2 linked regions of the Alligator mississippiensis genome follow. Each later gene encodes a partner of the first gene's protein in a complex. Links are inferred from orthologs where the notes say so. Each region holds a gene or a part of one and is shown on either strand. Other genes may lie near its edges.

Region 1 (7,388 bases):
TATTGAGTGTAGGCCCCCCTCCTGGGCTGTGCTGGGCTGGGCCTGTGCAGCTTATCCTGGTGGGGAGCAGAGATGCTGGCTTTGCATCAACCTGGGTGGTGCTGGTGGCAGGGACCATCCAGCTGTGAGGCACCTGGGCACAGCTGGGGGGGGAGGCTGGCAGAGCCCCCCTGTGGCCAGCGCAGTCTGGGGGGGCATGGGGCAGCTGTGCGTGGGGCTGGGGCCTGGCCATGGGCGGTGCTCATTATGCAAAGGGGAGGAGCGGGCCTGCATGCTAACGAGCAGTCCTCAGCCGTGGGGATTAGGGCATTTATGTAACGGTCCAGGGATTAGAGGGGCTGCCTAGCGAGGATCCTCCAGCCATGCGGCGTACGGGGTGGGCGGCAGGCTAGGGCGGAGGGGCCATGGGAGCCGCCAGCAGCCAGCCCCAGCCGGCCGCCCCCCGCACCGCGCCGGCATCGTTCACGGTCTGTCCACGGGCAGGGGGTCGCGGGGCTGCGGGTGCAGGGTTAAGCATGGGGGCTGGGGATAGGAGTGGTCAAGTGGCTGCGAGGGGTGGGGGGTTAGGATCCCTGGGGGGGAATGGGGAGTGCCATACAGGGCTGGGTCCGGGTCCCAAGCAGGTCGCAGCAGGTGACCCCTGCTCCGCTGGCTCTGCAGGGCAGTGGTGTGGCGGCCGAGCCTGCCTGGCCCCGCAGCTGGAAGCGTGTCCTGTGCAGCGTGGGGACTGCCGTGTCAGGGCTGGAGCGGGTCCTGGTGGCCAGGCGGCACGAGGGGGCCGAGTCGCCGCGGGGGCCGATCCCCGTGGCTGAGCAGCTGCCCCGGCTGGTGCAGAAGGTGGTGTCGGAGTGGCCGCTGCCGCAGTTTGTGGCCCTCTTCCTCCCCGAGTTCCCCGTGCGGCCCCCCATCCGCCAGCAGCAGCTCAAGGTGCGGGGCCCGCTGGGCTGGGGGCGGTCGCGTGGCCCCCGGGACAGAGCCCGGCCTCAGCCCTGGCCGTCCCAGCCTCCCCACCTCCTCCCGGGCACTCTCCTCTGCCAGCCCCCGGGGGACACGAGCCTGAGCCTCCTCAACCCCTTCCCCGGCTCTGGTTGTGGTGGTTCTGGCCCCGGGGTCTCCTTTCTGCTCCAGGGCTCCGGTCTGCGTGCCCCTGGGCCTGGGCCTGGGAGTGCCATGAAAACATAAGACTTGCCGTGTTCTGGGTCCGGTGCTGGCCCGTCTCCTGCGTGGCGCGGCAGCAGGGTGTGATGCCGAACGGGGCTGAGCAGGGTTTTCCCCTCTGCCTCTCCCTCGCGGCCTGCAGCATTTAAGGTCCAGGGAGCTCCGATGCCGAGGCCGTGCCCCGCGCCCGGTACCTGCCAATGCCCTTTTCCTCCAAGCACACGTCCGGCCCCTTTTTTGAACCCGGCTTAATGGCTTCCAAGCTGTCCTGGCGCCAACCTCCGCCCTCTCCTCCGGCAGGTCCTGGGCTTTGTGGCCAAGGGCTCGTTCGGCACGGTCCTGAAGGTGCTGGACTGCAGGCGGGAGATGGTGGTCGCGGTGAAGGTGAGTGCCCGTCCTGCACCGCCCTGCCTGTGCCCAGGCCGTGCCGCTCCCGCTCACCCCTGCCGTGCCTCTCGCAGGTGGTGCCCAAGGTGGAGGTGCTGCGGCGGGACACCCTGAAGCAGTGCAAGGAGGAAGTCAGCATCCAGGTACCTGCCAGGGCTGGGGGATGTGGGGCAGCCGGCTCCTCTCCCTGGCTCTCAGGCAGGGACTGGTGCCCCACATCAGAGGGGGGCTGGGCAGGGGCTGAGCCCTCCTGCGGGCCCTGCCTATTCCTGCCCACCCTGGCTCGGGTACTCACGGGTCCTTTCCCTCCATTGCCAGCGGCGGGTGCAGCATCCTTTTGTTCACTGCCTCGGGGACAGCTGGCAGGGACAGCGGCACCTCTTCATCAGTGAGTGACCATCTGTTGCTGGCCGGCGGGAGCCGGTCCCCTGCACATGCTCCCCCTGCGCACGTCTCTGCCACACGCTTGCCCCACGCTAAGCCGGCGGCTGCAATCCCTGGATTAGCTGCGCTGCTTGCTGCCCCGCAGATCAGAGGGGCAGGGGCTGCCTCTGCCCCGGGGGAGAGCGGTGCGTGGTGTGGGGGTGACGGGAAGCCGTGTGGGACCTGCTCTGCTCCCGGCTCCCCCAGGGGAAGGGGGGGTCTCTTGGGGGCGGCTGGGCTGCAGCGCGTCTGTTTGCTCGCCCTGCGCAGTGTGCACGTACTGCAGCACCGGGGACCTGCACGCGCTCTGGGCCGCCTCGGGGCACCTGGAGGAAGCCACCGTGCGCCTGTTCGCGGCCGAGCTGATCCTGGTGCTGGGTGAGTGGCCGGCGCCGGGGCGGAGGGAGCTGGTGGGCATTGCCGGGCTGCCCTGGCGATGCTTCCGGGAGCCCCAGCACCGGTGGGGGTTGCTGGGCTCCCACCCTGCTCCAGGCTGGTCTGTGCCTCCTGCTGCCCCCTTGGAGGGGCCGGCCAGACCCCAGGAGCTCCACTGTCCCCTCCAGGTCTCCTGTGGGGGCTGCTCTGGGATGGGCTGGGGAAGCCGTGGGGAGGGGACCGGGCTGCTGATGCTGCGCCTCCCCCCAGGGTACCTCCACGACCTGGGCATCGTGCACCGCGACGTGAAGGTACGATGTGGCCCCGTCCGGCCTTGCCACGTGCCGGTGCCCTGCCATGGGGGTGCTAGCTGCCAGGCTCGGGTGCCTTGGCCCCACTGGCTCCCTCCTCCCTGCTGGCAGGGGCTTCGGGGCACCGGGGCAAGGGACCCTGCCACCTCTTGCGCTTCTCCTGTGTCCTGGGCACGGGAGCGACATAACCCGCCGTCTCCTTCTTGCAGATGGAAAACATCCTCCTGGACGAGCGAGGTAAAGCCCGGTGGGGCGCCCGTCCCGGGGCTGGTCCCCTCCTCTCAACGGAAGCGTATTCGGCTTGGGGCACTGGGCTGGGAGGGGAGGCCCCCTCCTCCACCCACAGCCCCAGGATGGGGCCGGGCCAGGGGTGCGCAGGGTGGGGGCAGCCCGGTGATGCCCCCGCGCCTCCCTGCAGGGCACCTGAAGCTGACGGACTTCGGCCTTTCCCGGCACCTGCCGCGGGGGGAGCGTGCCTACACCATCTGCGGCACGCTGCAGTACATGGGTGAGCTGCGGGGTTGGGGTTGGGGTGAGGGTTGGGGCCGGGGCCCGCGCCCACCCTGACACTTCCTCATCTCCCCGACAGCCCCCGAAGTGCTGAGCGGAGGTCCCTACACTCACGCTGCTGACTGGTGGTCCCTGGGGGTCGTGCTCTTCGCCTTGGCTACGGGACAGGTGAAGGCCGTGCTGCTCCGGGCCCCCAGCCGGGCCCGAGCCCAAGGGGCTCAATGGGGAGAGGGGCCCAGGCGCTGACCCTTCCTCTCCGTGCCCCCAGTTCCCCGTGGCGCCCGAGAGAGACCACGTGGCCATGCTGGCGAGCGTGACCCGGTGCAGCTACGCGATGCCGCCCAGCCTGAGCCGGGCGCTGTCCCTCCTGCTCAGCGAGGTAATGCCCGCTGCCCACCTCCCCATCCCCCAGCGCTGCCCGCGGCCCCTCACGCCCGGCTTCCCCCCCAGCTCCTGTGCCGCACCCCGCTGCAGCGCCCGCACCACCTGCACCACTTCAAGGCCCACCCCTTCTTTCGGGGTGTGACCTTCGACCCCCAGCTGCTGCAGAAGCACCCTGTGGCTGTGGCCGTGGCCGTGCCGCGGGCACCAGAGACCACGCTGGACGCCGCCGTCGCCTTCACGGACTTCGACTGTGACCTCCTGGCCCCCCGCGGCCAGCCCTGGCCAGGCTGAGGGCGCCCTGCGGGGCTGCCCCGCACCGGGCCGCGGCCACCGCCCGACACTCAGGAACCCGCCGCTGCGCCGGACCCGCCACCGGCATCTCAGGGGAGTGGCAGGCGGCACTGCCTGCTGTAGCCCCGTCCTCCTGCCCCGGGGCCTGCGGGGCAGACCAGCAATAAACTTTCTTCTCTGGGGCTGGTGTGTGTGGCTGTGGCTGTGGCTGTGGCAGGGTCAGGGTGGGGGTCTTCCTTGGGGAGTGGGGGCTGCCCCTTGCACCGCCCCCGCGGGTGAAGGGCAGGGCTGCTCCCCTCCGTTGGACTCAGGGGAGGCCGCGGCTGCGGTGGGAGGAGAAGGAGCAATGGGCGCAAGCTGCAGAAGGGTAAACTGAGGTCGGGCGCTCGGCCGCAGCGCTGCGGCTCCGAGCCGGCCCCACCCCCCGGTGGGCGGGGCGACGCGGGGCCCGCCCCCGTGCCGTGACGTTGCACGGCCGCCTCCAATGGGAGCTGCGCGCTATTTTCAAACGCGGGGCGCGGCGCGGCGCGGCGCGCGGGGGCATGCCGGCCACGGACGAGAACCGGGAGCGGGGCCGGGGCCGGGAGCGGGGCCCCTGCAGCCCCGCGCCCCGCGCGCCCCTGCGCGACCTGCCCCGCGGCTCCTCCGCGCTCACCCCGCTGCTCCGCCGCCTGCGCCTGAAGGTGGGGGGCTGCCCCAGGGGTGGGGGGTCCTGGCTGGGGAGGGGCTGCCCCAGGGATGTGGCTGGGGGGGTCCTGGCCGGGGGGGGCCCACGCGGCTGACCGGGGTGTGCCCCCGCAGGACGACTGCGGCACCCCGCGCACGCCGGTGGCCCAGAAGCGGGGGGCGCTGGTCCTGGCCCCCAGCTCCGTGCCCGCGGCGGCCGGCGCCTGGTGGAGGACCAGCACGCCGGACACGTCCGGATCCAGCGCCGAGGGCGAGTCTCCCGGCTGGCCCCGCAGCCCCGCACTGGGGCCGACCTGCCCGCACCCTGGGAGCGCGGCGAGGGGGGACGGCGCGGTGCGGACGGAGCCCCCGGCCCCAGCCTGCAGCCCCCCGCCTGCGCCGCGCTCCTCGGAGGGCTCCGCTCCAGGACACGTCCCCGGGAGCCCCCTGGGGAGCAGCCCCCAGGCCCTGCCATCTGCATCAGGCTCCCCGCAGCCCCCCGGCGGCTCGGATGGCAACGCGGGCACCCCGTCTGCGCCAGGCGGCGACGGCGCCTTCCCCAGCCAGCCCTGCTCCCCGGAGCCGGGAGAGGCGTCCCCTGGGCCTGCCCTCGGGGCAGACGGCGGCGGTGCCTCCCCAGGGTGCTCACTGGAGGAAGCCCCTGCAGCCGCCCCGCCGTCCGGCCAAGGGCCCGGGTCTCCGGTGCTGTGGACCACCCCGCTGGCCTGGCTGGAGAGGAGCGTGGGCACCTCGGCCCTGCTGGAGTCCTGGCGGCAGAGCCTGTCGCTGCCCGCCCTGCAGCACGACGCCGGCACCAGCGTCACCCCGGTCTCGGCCACCTCCGCGGGCACCTCCATGACCCCGCGGGCCCTGCTGGAGCGCGGCACCAACACCTCCGGGGCTGGGCCCCGCGGCGCCAAGGACAGCGCGGCTGAGACCGACTCTCTGCTCTGGCAGTAAGTGCTAGCCCCTGGGTTGGGGATCGAGCCACATCCACCTTCCTGGGGCTCTCTCAGCTCGGGCATTTCTTCCTTCCCCTGTAGCTGTTTCCGAGAGCAGCTGAGCTCGCTGTCCCGGTCGGAGCTGGAGGGGCGGCTGGAGAGCACCCTCATCATCGTGGAGGTCCTCTCGTACCAGCTGCAGGGCTGGCAGCAGAGGCAGGGGTCGGTGCCTGGCGTGGGGCCGGCCGAGCAGCGAGATGCACCCACGCAGACCGACCTTGCCCATCCCGGAGCGGTAAGAGGGCCTGCCCTGGCCACCGGTGCTCGCCCCCGGGTCTCCTGCCCCTCCAAGCGCTGGGCTTCGCACCCGCGGCACGCCCCGGCACCTTCCCCAGAACCCGGGTCTCCCTGGCCAGAGCGGCTGTGATGGGAGTCTGCGTTTGGGCTGCAGAGCCAGTGGCGCGCTGTCTTCGCAGCAAGCCGGGTGGAAGTAACGCGGGCTGGCAGAGCTGCTGGGGCCCCGGGCCCGCTAATCGCATCACGCGCCTGGCTGGGCGCGCGGGGTCAGCGCTGTCCTGGTTACCCTTGCCTGGCCGCACGTGCGCTGCAAGGGGAGAGCACCGTGAGCGGGTGGGGCACTCCTGCAGGGCCGTGCCCGGGGGAAAGTGCCCTGCTGGGTAGGGAGGTGCCCCCTGCCCCTTCCCCCCCAGGCAGCAGCGCTGACGGGGGTGGCATGTCTTCCAGGAGGAGCGGTTTTATCATGACCTGTATCTGGAGTCCCGAGAGCGAGTCCAGACCCTGCAGCGGCAGCGGGAGAGCGAACGGGCCCTGCGGCAGGCCGTCCAGCAGGCCACAGGGGAGATGGTACGTGTCGGGGGGAGGGGAGCAATTGCTGCGGGCAGCGGGGAGTGCGTCAGGGCCTGTTGCCTGTGCCATCTGCACCTGGCACTTCCTGAATGCCCAGGGCCTCCTACCCAGGCTCCTCCAGCACCAGTGTGGGGCTGCCTGGCTCCAGGGAAGGGCGTTGTAGCTCTGGGCAGGCTGGACCCTTTCTGCGGGTCTTCTCTGCGCACACCAGGAACCTCTGCAGCAGGTGCCGCACCTCTGGCCAGTGCCCGCGTCCTAGTAGCAGCCCTGTTGATCTGGTCCCTAAACCTGTGCCTCACGCCTCGGCTTCCTTCCCCAGCGATCCTGGGCCCTGCAGTCGCGGGCTTTCCTGGACTTCGCAGCCACCTCCCTGCAGCATGTGCAGACCGACCGGCGAGCCCTGGGCCAGGAGGTGAGGCCGGGCCGGGTGCGGTGGCACGAGGGCGTTTGCAGCCTCCTGGCTTGGTGCCCGCTCTTGGCTGCTCGCCAGAGTTGCAATGAGTGGGGGGCCCCGGAGCCTTGAAACCTGCAGTAGCCGAGCCCAGGCCCCAGACCGGGGTCTTCCCTCGTTGTCCCCCAGAGGCTGGATCCCCGGGGCTCTGGGCTGAGCTGGGTTCTCTGGGGTCGGGTCCCCCAGGGACGTGGGGTGCGGTCCCCACCAGAGTCCCAGCCCTGCTCCCACCCCTTGGCCCGGAGCTCCCCGTGGCCTGTCGCCCCCAGCTCCGTTCACGCTCCCCTGCTCCCTCCAGTTCTGCCTCCTGGCTGGTAATTTTCCACTGTCTCCAATGCCTTCCTCGGAGGAGAAGGAAAAACTGGCTTTTCCAGTCCCAGGCGCGGCCTTCGCCAGCCCATTGCTGGCCAAGCGCTCGCGCTCCTTGTCACAGCCGGGGCAGGGGCCGCAGCCAGCCCCTGGTCATGCTGCCGTTCCCCCAGAGCCCAGCAGCTGCCCGGATGGCCCCTGTCCACACAGGGCTGCTGGGCCTTGGGGACCGTGTGTAGCCTGTCCGGAGCCCAGGGCTGCTGGGAAGGCTTTGCCATGCCACAGGTACTGCCGCTTCAGAGGAGCTTTGCCTTG
Region 2 (7,781 bases), on another chromosome or scaffold:
GAGTGCTCGTCATAGGAGACTCCATCCTGAGAGGTACGGAAGGACCCATCTGTCGCCAGGACCCCTCAGCACGAGAGGTATGCTGCCTCCCTGGAGCAAAGATTCGGGATGTGACGGAGGTAATCCAGGCCAGGATCAAGCCCACCAATTATTACCCCATGGTCCTAGTCCATGTGGGTACTAATGATGCGGCCAGGAGAACCCCCGATCACCTGATGGCGGACTACTGTGCTCTGGGTGGCGTGCTGAAGGAGTTCGGTGCCCAGGTGGTTTTCTCTTCCATCCTACCAGTGACCGGACGAGGAAGACGGCAGGAGAACTGCATCAGAGAGACCAACTGGCGGCTTCGGCAGTGGTGTCTCGAGGCAGGCTTCGGCTTCCTGGACAATGACCCGCACATCACGACGAGGGACATGCTCAGCTGGGATGGGCTTCACCTGTCCCCCAAAGGTAAGCGTGTGTTTTCTTCTAGGTTGGCGGATCTCCTCCGGCGGGCTTTAAACTAGGCTCATCGGGGGGAGAGGAGTACGAGGGCAGGGGAAGCTGTGGACCACCAAACCGTGTGGCACCCACAAGGACAGCCCAGCCTGAAGAAGGAGAACATTGGGAACCTGAAAGCCATGGGGAGGCCAGCACTACAGAACAGGTAACAAACAAGAAGGTAAGAAACAATGGGCCCCTTGGGACTCGGAGCGGGGGGGCAGCAAAGGCACCAGTCACAGGGCTCAAGTGCCTATATACTAATGCTAGGAGCATGGGGAACAAGCAGGATGAACTAGCGCTCCTGCTTGCACTAAACACCTATGACTTAGTGGGGCTAACAGAGACCTGGTGGGATTCATCCCATGACTGGGCGGTACATATTGAGGGCTATAGATTGTATAGAAAGGACAGGTCGGGGAAGAAAGGGGGGGCAATACACATCAACCCTCATCAAGACAGAATCCGAGGTTGAGGAAGTAGAAGGATTGTGGGTTAGGCTACATGGGGGGCAAGGAGAAAGGGATTTGGTGGTAGGGGTCTGTTACAGACCCCCACACCAAGGGGAAGAAATAGATGCGGGGCTCCTGAGGCAACTCTCGGAGACCATAAAAGCTAAAGAGGCGGTAGTCATGGGGGACCTAAACTACCCGGACATCTGCTGGGAGATGCAGACAGCAAGGTCCCATCGCTCACGCAGGTTTCTAACTTGTGTACAGGACCTCCACCTGACACAGGAGGTGCATGGTCCCACTAGGGGGAATGCCATACTGGATCTAGTATTGGCAACGGGAGATGACATGATAGGGGACCTCCAGATCGGTAGCTATCTGGGAGACAGTGATCACCTTATAATAGAATTCAACATAAGACGGTGAGTGGGTAAGGTAACTAGTAGGGTGAAAGTGCTAGACTTTAGGAAAGCTGATCTCAATGCACTCAGGCGATTAGTCAAGGAAGCACTGCAGAGTAGGAGTTTTGATGGGATGGGAGCCCAAGAAGGGTGGCTGTGCCTAAAGGAAACGATCCTTCGGGCACAAAGCAAGACGATCCCCGAGCGAGGCAAAAGAGGGAAAGGGGCCGGGAGGCTTCCATGGCTGACCAGAGAAATCCAGGGCAGCCTAAGGGCCAAAAGGGGAGCACATAAAAAGTGGAAACAGGGTGAGATCACTAAAGATGAATATACCTCCTCTGCTCGTGCTTGTAGGGAGGCAGTTAGGCGGGCCAAAGCTACCATGGAGCTGAGGATGGCAACCCAAGTAAAGGACAACAAGAAATTGTTTTTTAGATATATTGGGAGTAAAAGGAAGGCCCAGGGAGGAATAGGACCGCTGCTAAATGGGCAGAAACAATTGGTGACAGATAGGGGGGACAAGGCTGAACTCCTCAACGAGTTCTTTGCCTCAGTGTTCCTAAGTGAGGGGCATGACAAGTCTCTCACTGGGGTTGTAGAGAGGCAGCAGCAAGGCGCCAGACTTCCATACGTAGATCCTGAGGTGGTGCAGAGTCACTTGGAAGAACTGGATGCCTTTAAGTCGGCAGGCCCGGATGGGCTCCATCCGAGGGTGCTGAAGGCACTGGCCGACATCATTGCAGAGCCACTGGCGGGAATATTCGAATGCTCGTGGCGCATGGGCCAAGTCCCGGAGGACTGGAAAAGGGCTAACGTGGTCCCCATTTTCAAAAAGGGGAGGAAGGAGGACCCGGGCAACTATAGGCCGGTCAGTCTCACCTCCATCCTTGGTAAAGTATTTGAAAAAATTATCAAGGCTCACATTTGTGAGAGCCCGGCAGGGCAAATTATGCTGAGGGGAAACCAGCATGGGTTTGTGGCGGGCAGATCGTGCCTGACCAACCTAGTCTCTTTCTATGACCAGGTTACGAAACGCCTGGACACAGGAGGAGGGGTGGATGTCGTATACTTAGACTTCAGGAAGGCCTTTGATACAGTATCCCACCCCATACTGGTGAACAAGTTAAGAGGCTGTGACTTGGATGACTGCACAGTCCGGTGGGTGGCGAATTGGCTAGAGGGTCGCACCCAAAGAGTCGTGGTGGATGGGTCGGTCTCGACCTGGAAGGGTGTGGGCAGTGGGGTCCCGCAGGGTTCGGTCCTTGGACCGATACTCTTTAATGTCTTCATCAGCGACTTGGACGTGGGAGTGAAATGTACTCTGTCCAAGTTTGCAGATGACACAAAGCTATGGGGAGAAGTGGACATGCCGGAGGGCAGGGAACAGCTGCAGGCAGACCTGGATAGGTTGCACAAGTGGGCAGAAAACAACAGGATGCAGTTCAACAAGGAGAAATGCAAAGTGCTGCACCTAGGGAGGAAAAATGTCCAGCACACCTACAGCCTAGGGAATGACCTGCTGGGTGGCACAGAGGTGGAAAGGGATCTTGGAGTCCTGGTGGACTCCAAGATGAACATGAGCCGGCAGTGTGATGAAGCCATCAGAAAAGCCAATGGCACTTTATTGTGCATCAGCAGATGCATGACAAATAGGTCCAGGGAGGTGATACTTCCCCTCTATAGGGCGTTGGTCAGATTGCAGTTGGAGTACTGCGTGCAATTCTGGGCGCCGCACTTCAAGAGGGATGCGGATAACCTGGAGAGGGTCCAGAGAAGGGCAACTCGTATGGTTAAGGGCCTGCAGACCAAGCCCTACGAGGAGAGACTAGAGAAACTGGACCTTTTCAGCCTCCGCAAGAGAAGGTTGAGAGGCGACCTTGTAGCTGCCTATAAGTTCATCACGGGGGCACAGAAGGGAATTGGTGAGGATTTATTCACCAAGGCGCCCCCGGGGGTTACAAGAAACAATGGCCACAAGCTAGTAGAGAGCAGATTTAGACTGGACATAAGGAAGAACTTCTTCACAGTTCGAGTGGCCAAGGTCTGGAACAGGCTCCCAAGGGAGGTGGTGCTCTCCCCTACCCTGGGGGTCTTCAGGAGGAGGTTAGACGAGTATCTAGCTGGGGTCATCTAGACCCAGCACTCTTTCCTGCTTATGCAGGGGGTCGGACTTGATGATCTATTGAGGTCCCTTCCGACCCTAACATCTATGAATCTATGAATCTATGTCTGCCTTTCCTCCCTGCCCCATCCCCACCACAGCCAGAGTGGACCAGTGGGCAAGGGTGAATGCAGGCTCCTTGCTGTGGGCTCAGGGCTCTCCACTCTGCTGCTTTTGCCGAGGGCTGTGCAGCAGCCGCACGTTCCCTGCCCACGCAGCAGCAAGGGGCACAACCCGCAGCACCGTGCTGCTGGGCAGGCAGGGGGTGTGCTGCTGGCATGGGGCTCCCAAGGGAAAGGCTGCAGAGTGGAGAGTCCTGAGCCCACAATGAGCAACTCATATTGGTGCTATACACAAATATGGCGGGGAACACTTGCCCCCCTCCCTCATGCCTTCCCTAGGGCGTGTGCGCAGCAGTGGGGAACTGCACCCCTCCCCCCAGCCTGCACCCTTGGGCGAGCTGCCCGTTCCCCACCTTTGTGTCCCGCGCACTGTCCTGTCTGGGCAGCGCCACCAGCCCCTGCCCTCACCATGGGGGCCTCAATCGGCCTAGACAGCAGACAACCAAACCAATGAATACATGAACAAGCAGGCAGCGCGGGTGCCTGGTGAGAAGGGGCTGTGTTGCCTGTTTTCGGTAGGACAACAACCAGCTACGTCAAAGAACTGCGATCAAGCTCCCCACTGAGGAGCTGTCCCCCCACACAGGGAGACGATGTGCACCAGCGGCAGGCGCCGCCGAAAAAGCCCCGCTGTCCTACACCTGACCAAGGGAACACTAATCCCACCCCCAACTCGAGCTTGGAGTAGGCACCCCTAGGAGGCCCCTTGGCCCGTCCTCCCTGCACTCTGATTGGACGGTGCCCGACAGGCCCCGCCCCGGCTGCGGATCTCTCCCCGTCCGGCCAGGAGGGCCCGCCCCCTCCCGGGGGAGGGCGGGGCCTACGTGGCATCCCGCTCCTGCCCCTTCCTTGTGAGGGCGAGCCTGCCTGGGTGGAGAGAAAGTAGGGCTTCGCTTTCCTCTCTGCGCATGCGCCCACATTCTTCCTCGGGGCTCCCGTCGATGTCTGCGCCTGCGCGCGAGTTTGCTCCTCCCTCCCCGGGGCGGTTGAGGGGCTGTTCCCATTTCAAACGGCCGCGGGAGTTGGGCAGGTGTGTCGGGGCGGCGTTGCCGGGTCCGGCTGCCTCTCTGGCGTGGCTTCATGCGTGTCGCGGTCTCGATCCATGCGGGGTGGGCGTGGGCGGGGGCGGACGCGAGGGGTGAGGCGGACGCGGCCCAGGCCCGGTCACGGTCCACCCTTCACCCCCCCGCGCCTGCAGGCCCCGCGGCGGGGACCTGCCTGGGGGAGGCGGGGCTGGGCATGGGGCGGGAGGGCGGTGGCCGGCGGGGCCTGGCCTGGCCTGGCCTGCAGAGGACAGGAGTCACACCCATGGTCTCCGCAGGCGGCCCATCCGCCCCGCAGCATGGAAGGCGAGCCGTCCCGCATCCCCGTCTACTCCTCCTCGCACGCCAGCGCGCTGCCCCGGGCCGCCCCGGCAGGTGAGTGCGCGCCCATGGCCTCGCCGGGGCCTGCCTGTTTTCCAGCGCGCCTGGGAGCCCCGAGCACGGCGGCCTGTCCCGCAGAGGAGGGGCCCGACAAGGGGCGGAGGGTGCCCCAGGGGCTGGCGGCCTCCTCTGCTGCAGTGACAAGAGTTGGGCTAGGGCTGGTAAAGCTGAGGGTCGGGGTGGGTAAAAATCAACAATTTTAAAAAGAAATAAAAGCGGGATTTAAAAAAAAAATTGAATCTGTTTTTTTGTTAAGATGCTTTTTTTCAAAAAGCACCTATATAAAGACAGTTTTAATTTAAGATAAGTTAAAGCTCACTCTTTCATCTGCCCCTGTGTTTTGGCCAGAGCCCTGGATTAGTGATTTCTCTGAAATTCCAAGATGGCATCATGGAATAGGAATTATAACTTCTAATTGTATACAACTTGAGACGATATAGTCATGTAACCTTCTTAGAAAAGTTTTGTAAATAGGTCACAACAGGCCATGGACTATATTAAGGGCCCAATTTTATGGGGTTCCCAAAGGCTCCTCTATAGATTAGTAAAGATTAAAGAAAACCATACTACCCAGTGGGACTTGGCGCTCAGTCTAGATCCCATTAAGTATCTCTGCGATGGTTAGTTTCAGTTCTCAAACTCTGGATTTGTGTCTCCAGAGATAATATCCTTGATAACAGCAGTATATGGAGACAAGAGATAACAGACCTGATTTGCCTACCAATCAGCCCTTTTGTCTCTCTGCAAGTTTATGTACACAGAGTCAAGCCCTTACCCCTCTCTAAAAGTGCAAAGTTTCAAGAAGTTAAAGGAATAGAAGATATCAAACAACAAGAGTGCACTTTTTGTAGAAAGTGATGATTAAATCGTGGCTTTCTGACCACTGATTTAAATCATGATTTATATCAGTTTGGTTTTAAAACAAATCCACCCTGCTGAAGTTTGCTGGGATAAAGGGCAAAATCCAGGCTGTTGCTTGCAAATAGGTAGGAAAGCAGTGAGAGAGGCTTCCTCTCCTTTTTGTGTCGTTGTGTGACAAGGTATTTAGCAGAACTCGCAGACTTCTTATAATCTGACGAAGCCACGTGGTGAGTGCTCCTGCTGTGGCCTTGAACTTGGCACTTCTGGGTTGTTAACTGTGCGTTTGGCATTTTGTGCCACCCCCAGAAAGGCTTAGACCTGAGAAGCAGCCCAGTGTGTTGATCAATTGTAGCTTGTACAATTTATTCCAGCCCTGATTCCTTCTCTAGCCTGCCTCTGTCACACTGAGCTCACCTGGGCAGAGCTAGGTGGAAGCACAGGGAGTTTGCACTTTCTGGCCCTGTTTTGCTGCTGTCCAAAATGCCAGAAGGGAAAGCAAGTGTTGGATGCAGTTTCAAAGAAGGCTCTGCTTAGGTTTCCTTTTTCCTGTCCAGTGGAGCCCTGGAGAAATCGGCCTACTATTTATTATTTGGTAACGTAGCTGCAATTGGTTCAGCCAATTGGAATTGAGAGAGCGGCGAGGTTTTTTTTGTTTTTGTTTTTTTTTTGTTAGCGGTATCTCTTATTGGACCAACTACAAGGTTGGGGTAGAATTAAAACAAGCTTTTGGCTGAGGTATTCTTCAGATCAGGGGAGGGAAGCATGCATAGCGATGATTGAGAACAATGGGTAGAGCTCTGAAATTGGAGAGGGGAGAAATTCCCAGGGGTAGCACACAAGCACCAGTCAAGCAGACAGATACTGACTCTGCACACTATCTGATTCCTGAAATGGTTCCTGCATGCTATAAGTGATAATGACTACGGCTGTGCAAAGCTTCGGTAGCTGATTCAATTCGCCCGATTTGGGGACCATATCTCCAAATCAAATCAGACGATTTGGCCATAGACTAAACAGCCAGCTGACGGCTGCCTTCAGTTGGTAAGTCTGTTGGGGTTGGGAGGGAAGGGGCTGAGACGAGTTGCCCGGAAGGGGGGGGGGGGGGGGGAGGGGGGCGCAGTATTGGGAGCAGGGGTTCTGCCCTGCTGCCACTTGCCCAGCCGGGGAGGGGGACAGGATGCAGGCGTTGCTCACTCCAGGCGGAAGGGGGCAAGTGGCAGCAGAGCATAGCCCCTGCTCCCAGTGCTGCTGCGCCCACCTCCTGCGCTTCCCTGCAGAAGCTGGCAAGCGGCAGCAAGGCAGAGCCCCTGCTCCCAGTGCTAATTTGGACACGGTAGCGCTGGGAGCAGGGGCTATGCCATGCTGCTGCCCAGAGTAAGCCACACCTGCGTTGCGCTCCCCCTCCCCTTCTCCATAACAGCAGGGCATAGCCCCTGTGGCTCCCCTTGCCAGGACAGGCAGGCACAGAAGCCCCCATGGCTGCCCTGTCTGGCCCCATGCCCAGCCCAGCCTCCTGGCACTTTTTTTTTTAAAGTCCCATACTCACTTGCTGCAGGAGCAGCAATTGGGGCCTCTGGGTACTCATGACGGAGCCCCCCCATTTGGTACCTGCGCGGCAACTGTTGCATTGCGCAAGTGCAGCGCAGCTCAGCGGGGCACTGCACGCTGTCTGGGAGCTGGGGCTGAGCGATGCTGGGCTCTGGCTGACAGGTGGAGCAGCCCCAGCTCTCGGACAGCACACAGCACCCTGCTGAGCTGCACGGCACCTGTGGCATAGGGCAGCTGCTGCATAGGTGCCAAGCAAGCACGAGGGGGGACAATCCCTGCTGCGCTGGGGGGCTTTGCCACAAGCACCCAGAGGCCCCAGTTGCCGCTCTTGT

The links.
Region 2: SPAG5 (region 1) and KNSTRN share a complex: the UniProt entries of both Homo sapiens proteins name them as parts of the astrin (SPAG5)-kinastrin (SKAP) complex. The link is inferred for Alligator mississippiensis from reciprocal best matches to the Homo sapiens genes SPAG5 and KNSTRN.

The regions. Positions count from the first base shown.
Region 1 is NC_081837.1:1,041,027-1,048,414, reverse strand, and holds the start of SPAG5 (sperm-associated antigen 5), read left to right. Parts: upstream 1-4,366; 5' UTR 4,367-4,381; coding exon 4,382-4,522; intron 4,523-4,640; coding exon 4,641-5,461; intron 5,462-5,548; coding exon 5,549-5,741; intron 5,742-6,190; coding exon 6,191-6,310; intron 6,311-6,632; coding exon 6,633-6,725; intron 6,726-7,388. Other genes in the region: RSKR (ribosomal protein S6 kinase-related protein), read left to right, coding at 405-467, 661-927, 1,459-1,542, 1,620-1,688, 1,864-1,933, 2,239-2,346, 2,614-2,654, 2,864-2,891 and 4 more. UniProt on the Homo sapiens protein: Essential component of the mitotic spindle required for normal chromosome segregation and progression into anaphase. Required for chromosome alignment, normal timing of sister chromatid segregation, and maintenance of spindle pole architecture.
Region 2 is NC_081825.1:241,491,363-241,499,143, reverse strand, and holds the start of KNSTRN (small kinetochore-associated protein), read left to right. Parts: upstream 1-4,703; 5' UTR 4,704-4,718; coding exon 4,719-4,754; intron 4,755-4,937; coding exon 4,938-5,034; intron 5,035-7,781. UniProt on the Homo sapiens protein: Essential component of the mitotic spindle required for faithful chromosome segregation and progression into anaphase.